2 linked regions of the Alligator mississippiensis genome follow. The protein of the gene in region 1 interacts with the protein of each later gene in a biochemical or structural test. Links are inferred from orthologs where the notes say so. Each region holds a gene or a part of one and is shown on either strand. Other genes may lie near its edges.

Region 1 (3,902 bases):
AAGGTGAAGACATTTCCACAGCCCTGAGATGCTGCAGGCCAGGACTCGGAGCCTGCTCATGCTCACTACAAGGTGCCAGCCTGAGCATGAGGCCACCCGGCCCCCTCTCCCCTGCGTGGGGCTGCAGGTGCAGTAGGGGGTAGGTCAGCACTGGGCTCTGCCTGCTGCACCTAGCCCGCACATGGGCACAGACAAACCTGGGCATCCCCTGAAGCAGGCTGACCCCTGGGGCCTTGCGGCCCAGGCCTAGCAGGGGCATCCCCAGGGGAAAGCAGCCTTGCCTGCAGCACCCGGCCTCTCACCCACAATATGGGCTGCTGGCCCGGGAAGGAGGCAGGGACTGTGCCACCCGGGGCCTGGCAGAGGGCTGTAGGCTGGTCCCTAGGAGCGGGGGCAGCGGCTGCCGCCAGGTGGCAGCCCCGGGGCAGCAGCAGGGCCAGGCCGTTGCCTGGGGGAGGAAGGAAGGGCAGGGCAGGCTGCCGGCCCTGCTAGGGAGCGGTGCCAGCCGAGCCCGCTGCCGGGGCCAGCACCGCTGCATGAGGCTGCCACTCGGAGCCTGCAGCTGGCCTAGGCAGCGGCAATGCAGCCCCTGGCCCGGGCAGCTGCCCTCCCGGCCTACGGGCACCCGCAGTGAAGGGGTCTCCTCCTGCCTGGGCAGGAGGGGGCTTCATGGCCCCGGCTGCCCCTCTGCAGACAGCAAGCGGCTGTGGGTCGGGGCGGAGGGCCTGCAGAGCCCCCAGGTCGGGGCCGTGGGGCACTGGGGTCTGGCCCGCCCGAGCCGAGCCGAGTCGTGCCAGCCCCTGCGGCATTGCAGTCTGCAGTGAGCCGCCGGGCCCCGCCAGCCCTCCACAGCCAGGATGGGGCCGTGCCCGCTGCCCCAGACCTGCCCGGGCTGTGCCCGTGGACTCTGGCTGCTCCGCGGGGAGGGTCCCCCGGCCGCAGCCCGGGGCCCGCTGTCTACCGGGGGCAGAGGCAGGGCCAGGCCCGGGTGCCCCCACGGCAGCGGCCGCCCGCGCCCCCAGCCCCGGCTGCGGGGTCAAAGCTTAACTGGCCCCGCCGCCCGCTCCCCTCTGCCGGCCGGGGCGGGGGCAGGGTGACCTGCCCGGGCCCTGCGGGGGAAGCGGGCTCGGGTCGGGCTGGCCCGGAGCAGCGAGAGCCCGGCCGGGGAGGGACGAGTGAAGTTGGTTGCCTAGTCCCCGCTCCTTATTCCCGGCTGCTTTGGCAGCGCTAATCTAGACCCGATAAAAGCCTGGTGTTAATGAATTACAGCGAGAGCGCGCGTCGCTCGCCGTGCAGACGCACTACTTCGTATGTAAAGTAATAGCCCGCGGGAATGAGCGTCCGACTTCAGCCTCGCGGGGGGAGGGAGGCGCGGGCCGGACTTTGCCCGGGCTCGGGGCGGCCCCGCAGCCCTTCGTCACCCGGTTAAACATTAACCCTTCCCTGCCGGCAGCTGCCCGCCGGAGCCCCCGCGGGGCGGGACGGGGCGGGCCGTGCGGCCGGGGCGGGCCGGGGCGGGGACCGGCTGCCTCTGGCCGCGCGGTGCGGGGCGGTGCGGTGCGGGGCGCGGGCGCGGGACGATGCAGCCCGGCGTGTGCGCCCTGCTGGGGCTCCTGGCCGCGCTGGCAGCCGGGGCTCGGGCGGCCGGGGCCGGGCCCGAGGACCCGCCCGCGGAGCCAGGTGGGCGCGGGGCGCGTGTGCGGGGCGCGGACGGGCGCCTGGGCTCCGCGCTCCCTCCGAGCGCGGCAGCCCGCGGGGCGCACGGGCGGCGGGTGGCGCGGTCCGCGCGGCCGGTGCCTGGGAGACCTGGCTGCTGCCAGGGCGGCCCCGCGAAGACAGCCTGGGTCGGGGGGCACCGGAGGAGCCCTCTCTGCCCTGCCCTGCCCTGCCCTGCCCGGGGAGGCTGCGGGCTGCCGGTGCCCCCGCCACTCCCCCGGCCGGACCGAGGGGCTCGAGGGGGCGGGAAGGTGGCGGGATCGGGCCGGGCGGGAGGGGCCGCTGGCGGAGCCACGGGCACAGGCTCCGGGCACGGGCCCAGCCGCGCCGGGGCGCGAGGCAGAGCGCAGGGGAGAGGCTCTGGGGCAGGCGAAGCTGCTGCGGGCACCGGGCTGGCTGCCCCGCGCTGGGCAGCGTGGCCCGGGCCCCGGGGCGTCCGGCTCCGGCTCCGGCTGGAGGCCGGCGGCGAGGACCAGGGGGCTGCGTGGGCCGGGCGCCGGGCAGGGGGTCCGCAGCGCCATCCCTCCTGCCCCTGCTCCACGGTGCCCACTGCTGGCAAGGGCTGGGAAACTGCCCGTGCCGGGCGGCAGCATGACACCCTGCGGCACTTCGTTCCAGACTCCCTGGCGTCAGGCGATGACGATGAGGATGGGGACGGGGATATCTCCCAGGGGGATTCGCGCGAGGAGCTCCTGCACTTCCGCAGAGGTCAGTGCTGTGGCCAGGCTGCCCCAGGCCCTGTGGAGCAGGGAGTCCCCATTGCCTGCAGCCTGGCAGCACCACACGGTCCCCCAGGCCCTTTGCACTCCACTGTGGCTGCCCTGAGCCGGCCGGCTGGATCAGGCCCTGGCCTGGGAGAGCTGAGCATGCACTGTGCCCCTCCCTGCAAGCTGTGCCTGCACCTGCCCTGCGTTGCAGCCCCAAGCACCCGTGTGCCTTGGCAGAGCCCACTGCGAGCTGGCCGCCCCCGCCCACACACACCCTGTTCCCGTGCTCCATAGCTGTCCCGGCCCCATGGCTAATGGGCACGGCCACCCATGTCATCCTCAGCGCCCTACTGGACGCACCCCCACCGCATGGACAAGAAGCTGTACGCGGTGCCCGCGGGCAACACCGTCAAGTTTCGCTGCCCGGCATCAGGGAGCCCCAGCCCCAGCATCCACTGGCTGAAGAATGGGCATGAGTTTCGGGGAGAGCATCGCATCGGCGGCATCCGGGTGAGGGAGCGGGGCTGCCCCCTGCCTTCTCCAGGGGCCTGTGGCAGAGGTCCTCTGGTAGCGACCCCCCTGCCGGGCCAGGCACCAGCCAGGAGCTGGGTGCCCTGCAGAGAGCTCTGCCCAGGTGCCAGCTGCCCCTCACCGTGCTCTGTCCCGTCCTCTCCCCCAGCTGCGGCACCAGCACTGGAGCCTGGTCATGGAGAGCGTGGTGCCCTCCGACCGCGGCAACTACACCTGCCTGGTGGAGAACAAGTTTGGCAGGATCCGCTACAGCTACCTGCTGGACGTGCTGGGTGAGCCCGCTGGCCGGCAGCACGGGGGGCTGATCCTGGGGTCCTCCCCCAGCAGGAAGCCTGCAAGGAAGGGGCCTCTCAGCTGGCGCAGACCCCCAGGGAAGGCTCTGCTCCTACGTGGGCTGCCTGAGTTGGGCCCCTCCCGTGCAGCTCCTGGCGCTGCATCAGGGCCTTGCTGTTGCCCTTGGGAGCTGGGAGATAAGAGGTCATTGATCCCTCTGCAAACTTCAAAGGGCCTCTGGGAGCGTCGGGGTTGTAAAGTCCAAAGCAAGGAGCCAGCATACCAGCACCCCCCCCCCCCCCACTGCTCCTTATCAGGGCCGGGCCGGCGGGCGGGGATGGACCGGGCAGGCAGGGGGGGCCCGAGGATCCACAGCCCCGTGGGGAGGGACAGATGGGTGGGCTGACTGGGGGCCTCTGGTTCTGTGGGGCAGAGGTTTCCCAGGCCATGGTGCCCCCGGTCCATGGGCGAGGTGCCAGAGGAGGGCAGGGCCCAGCCGGGTGCAGCCCCGTTGGCTGACGCACCCCACTTCCGGCAGAGCGGTCCCCGCACAGGCCCATCCTGCAGGCCGGGCTGCCGGCCAACACCACGGCCCAGGCAGGCAGCGACGTGGAGTTCTTCTGCAAGGTGTACAGCGACGCCCAGCCCCACATCCAGTGGCTCAAGCACATCAAG
Region 2 (3,902 bases), on another chromosome or scaffold:
TACAACCGAGTGCTACCTCCTTCTGAATGCTGAGTTGATCAAGAGCTGTCCTCCTGGCCCGCACTAAATCTTGGAATTAGGAATTACATCTTCCTAATTCAGAAGAAAGCAAAATAGGAGCTACAGCCTGAGGGTCTGCAGAACTAACCACAACATTACTAGGTGCTCTGAAGAAAGCTCACCTCTGTCTTTTCTGGATTGGCAGGGAGTGTGACATGAGTTACTGTAACACTTGCACGCCTCATGGGATGCGATCTGATTTCTGCTGTTATATCTCAGACACTCTACAAGCAAACCCTATTTGCAAAGGAAGCAAGTGGATAGACAATGCTTCCACCTCTTTGATGGTATATTCCCCTCCAGGGGGAATAGCATTACAGTGTGTGAATGTATGATTTGATTTCCTTGGAATCCAATGCTGAGGCACCCAGTTATGACTGCATTAATGAATGGCTTCATATTAAAATGATTGCAATCAGAGTATTTTCCTGATCTGCAGCCTCTCCCTCATGGTCAGGGAGAGAAGATGAGCTGGTAAGAGTGGCTTATCCTGGCTGGGCTACTGAGAAGCTGTAGAGATGACCCTTGCTTTGAGGACATGTGGGGGGGGGGGTTCTTATTCCTCCCATATTACAGGAGTTTCGCCCACTATCTCATCTGTGGCTGTCCTGAACTAACCTCTGTTGACGAGGGTAAATCATAGTGAAAAGACGGGTCCTAACCCTTCTGAGCTCCTTAGGTCACCTCTTCAGTCTCTTTCCTAGTGCTGTTAGCCAAGGAAGCACAGGAGAGAACCTAATATATAAGATGCCTAATATACAAGATATACCTAATATACAAGATGTCAAGAAAGAGGATTCTGAATCAGTGTCTGGGCAACGGTGTATGTTGCAGGGGAAGGGCTTCTGCAGGTTTAGAGCCTGACTAAGGGGAGGGTTTTTCTTTTTGGGGTTGTTGGGGTTTTTTTTTTTGTTGGTAACTTCATAGTTCATTTGTGGTTAATGTGGATTTCTTTCAAGATGATGTGCCCATTCTTCTTTAAAGTGTGGAGGGGGCATTGGATCCCTGGCCACCAGCTGATTGACTTGGACAAGGAAGTTGTGTCATGCTGCATAACTGGGACGTTGAGATTGATTTCTTTCTTCCTTCCTTTCTCGATGACTCCTGCCTTCTTTTCCCCAGCAGGCAGAGATCCGGGGGGCTGCTTTCCTGCCGGGCTGCTGGATGTTGAGGCATACACACAACCGCCTCTGCCACCCCCGGACGGGCACGGCGTGGGCAGAGGCCGTTTCAAACTCCGCCAGTGCCCAGGCGCCCGGTGCCTCCCGGGTGGCGTGGCGGAGGTTTGCATGAGGATGAGCCGCACGTGATCTTGCTCAGGCTGGAAGAGGGCTGATTTCAAATACGAGCAAGATTGCAGGATAAAGCTTTTCCAGGGCGGGCGCTCAGGGTGTCTCCTGTGAAATGATGTCATCCGATCAATATTTTAGCGGGGAGTGACTGATCCGGCCAAGTCCTGCTATGAAATAGTCGCTATATTGGAATTGGATTTAGCCCTATCGATTGGGCTGATAACAGGGACCTATAAAAGGCAGGGGGATTGGCTTTGCGTTTACTACATCCCTGAAGCAATTAGCTCCAAAAGCACCAAGCCGCTGCCTTCTCTCGTAGCAGCATTGGCGCCTCTGCTCGTGTGCGGGAGAGAAAGAGAGCTGGGAGGAGGCAGCTTGCCATTTATATTACCTGGGGCGGTGGAAAAATAAAAGATGTGGCAGCCCCTGTGCAAAGCGCCGACGTCCCTGGCTCTGCTCGGACTCTGTTGTGCAATGGTGGCCGATTCCCTGCCTTTCTCCGACGCAGGGCCACACGTGAACTATGGCTGGGGGGAGCCCATCAGATTGAGGCACCTCTACACTGCCAGCAAGCACGGACTGTTCAGTTACTTCCTGAGGATCAGCAATGATGGCAAAGTGGACGGCACCACCAGCCAGAGTCCTCAAAGTGAGTACAAAGGAAGGGAGCCGCACCTGAGCCCTGCCCGCGGGAGGAGGCCCGGGGAGGCGGAGGGCGGCGGGCCGGCGGCGATCTAGCTACCTCCCCGCTCCTGCTGTAACCTGGCTTTTCTCTCTCGTTGTGCTCCGCAGGTTTGCTGGAGATCAGGGCCGTGGCAGTTCGCACGGTGGCGATCAAGGGCGTGCACAGCTCGCGGTACCTCTGCATGGAGGAGGAAGGGAAGCTGCATGGGCTTGTAAGTTGCGGGCGCGCACTGAACCAGCCTGGGAAAGTCAATAGCTGGCGGGGCCGGGCGGGGGGGTTGCATGCGCTCGCAAGGGCTTGTTATCGTGTCCTCCGGCCCCGGCCAGACAAAACCGCTCCAGCCGACCGCATCTTCCTTCTCACGCCGTTAGGGGTCTGGCGTGGGCAAGGCAGGAGCAAGGAAATGAGCCTGGAGGGGTTGAGGCGGGTCACGCTGGGATGCTCTCCAGAAAACAAAACAGCACAAGGAGCTCGCCTGCATTCCCTACCGCAAGCTTTCACGTGTCGTGAAGGTCTGGGACAGACATTGCATAAACCAGGTTGACCCACATCAGTTAAGTCTGATACTACAGTCAACCAGGTTTAGCTCCAACTGGTTTCAGCCATTTTCAAACTGGTTGATGTGCACTAAACATCTGTAAACCAGTGACTGAGCACTTAAACCGGGTCATGTGGAATGTGTGTCCCTAGCCTAAGGCTTAAACCCCCTCTAACCTAAACTGGCCTGGAGGATTAGCTGAAGGTGTATCAGGGACCCCCACAGAAGGCAGACAAAACTCTTGAGATTCATAGACTTATAGACTGTAAGGGGCTCAACGGGACCTTGCAAGATCATCTGGTCCAGACCCCTGCACTAGTCAGGAAAGACAACAATGTTTACTTTTGTCACAAGGGGCGTCCCTAGAGGCTGCTAGTGAACATTTAATTTTGCTGCCAAATAATAATAGTAGTAGTAGTAGTAATAATAATAATAATAAAACAACTTTCCAGAACGACAAATAAAAAAAATCAGGGGAAGTGCTCCAGTTTTGGTTCCCAATTGCATTTTCTCCCTTTGCAGTTTTCTTTACATTTTCTACTTTCAAAGAGAATATAGGTAAAAAAAATCCCAAATCTATATGGGGCCCTGCCATGACAAAGACAATCCACTCAGTGCACTTTAGGTTTTCAACAGTGCAGGTGTATTTTTACTTGTTTTCTTACTGTTCAGCTTAGGTATTCTGTAGAAGATTGCTCCTTCGAAGAGAAGATATGCCCAGATGGCTACCATATGTATAAATCAAAGAAATATGGGGTTGCTATCTCTTTAAGTAGTGCCAGACAGAAACAAGAATTCAAGGGGAAGGCTTTCTTCCGTTGTCTCACTTCTTACTTGTGATCAACAGTTCACCTGTAAGGGTCATGGGAGACTGAAGACTTATAGTGACTCTCTTATCATGTTGTTAACTCATGGTTTTTCCATCTACATATTTCAGCATATCAGTTAGATACATCAGCAGTACAGTCCTGCTTTTGTCAGATGTCTGTAATAACTAGTTAAGTTGCAGAGAAGAAGCTAAATACATCCTCAGGTGATAACTATGTAGTTAGTTGAGAGATACCGGGAAGAGTTACTTTCCTCTTAGAGCCAAATGTAAGGCTTAATCCTGCTTTCCTTACTCAGGCAAAATTCTTACTGTTTTGGCCAAGGGCTAGCACAGTGGCAAATTTTCCATTTGCTTTAAATGGAAATAAAGAGTAGGATCTAGTGGGAGATTTATTTGAGTATATGACAGGATTAGGGCTTTCATTCCGAATTTCCTTCCTTTTTGCCTACAATCAAACCATCAGTAAACTGAATGTATAAGGCAGGATGTGCATTTTGG

The links.
Region 2: the proteins of FGFR4 (region 1) and FGF19 form a complex in vitro, tested with the Homo sapiens proteins (2 studies listed by BioGRID and IntAct). The link is inferred for Alligator mississippiensis from reciprocal best matches to the Homo sapiens genes FGFR4 and FGF19.

The regions. Positions count from the first base shown.
Region 1 is NC_081832.1:79,316,651-79,320,552, forward strand, and holds the start of FGFR4 (fibroblast growth factor receptor 4), read left to right. Parts: upstream 1-1,538; 5' UTR 1,539-1,580; coding exon 1,581-1,680; intron 1,681-2,334; coding exon 2,335-2,424; intron 2,425-2,766; coding exon 2,767-2,933; intron 2,934-3,102; coding exon 3,103-3,226; intron 3,227-3,765; coding exon 3,766-3,902. UniProt on the Homo sapiens protein: Tyrosine-protein kinase that acts as a cell-surface receptor for fibroblast growth factors and plays a role in the regulation of cell proliferation, differentiation and migration, and in regulation of lipid metabolism, bile acid biosynthesis, glucose uptake, vitamin D metabolism and phosphate homeostasis.
Region 2 is NC_081825.1:215,291,013-215,294,914, reverse strand, and holds the start of FGF19 (fibroblast growth factor 19), read left to right. Parts: upstream 1-1,419; 5' UTR 1,420-1,766; coding exon 1,767-2,001; intron 2,002-2,144; coding exon 2,145-2,248; intron 2,249-3,902. UniProt on the Homo sapiens protein: Involved in the suppression of bile acid biosynthesis through down-regulation of CYP7A1 expression, following positive regulation of the JNK and ERK1/2 cascades. Stimulates glucose uptake in adipocytes. Activity requires the presence of KLB and FGFR4.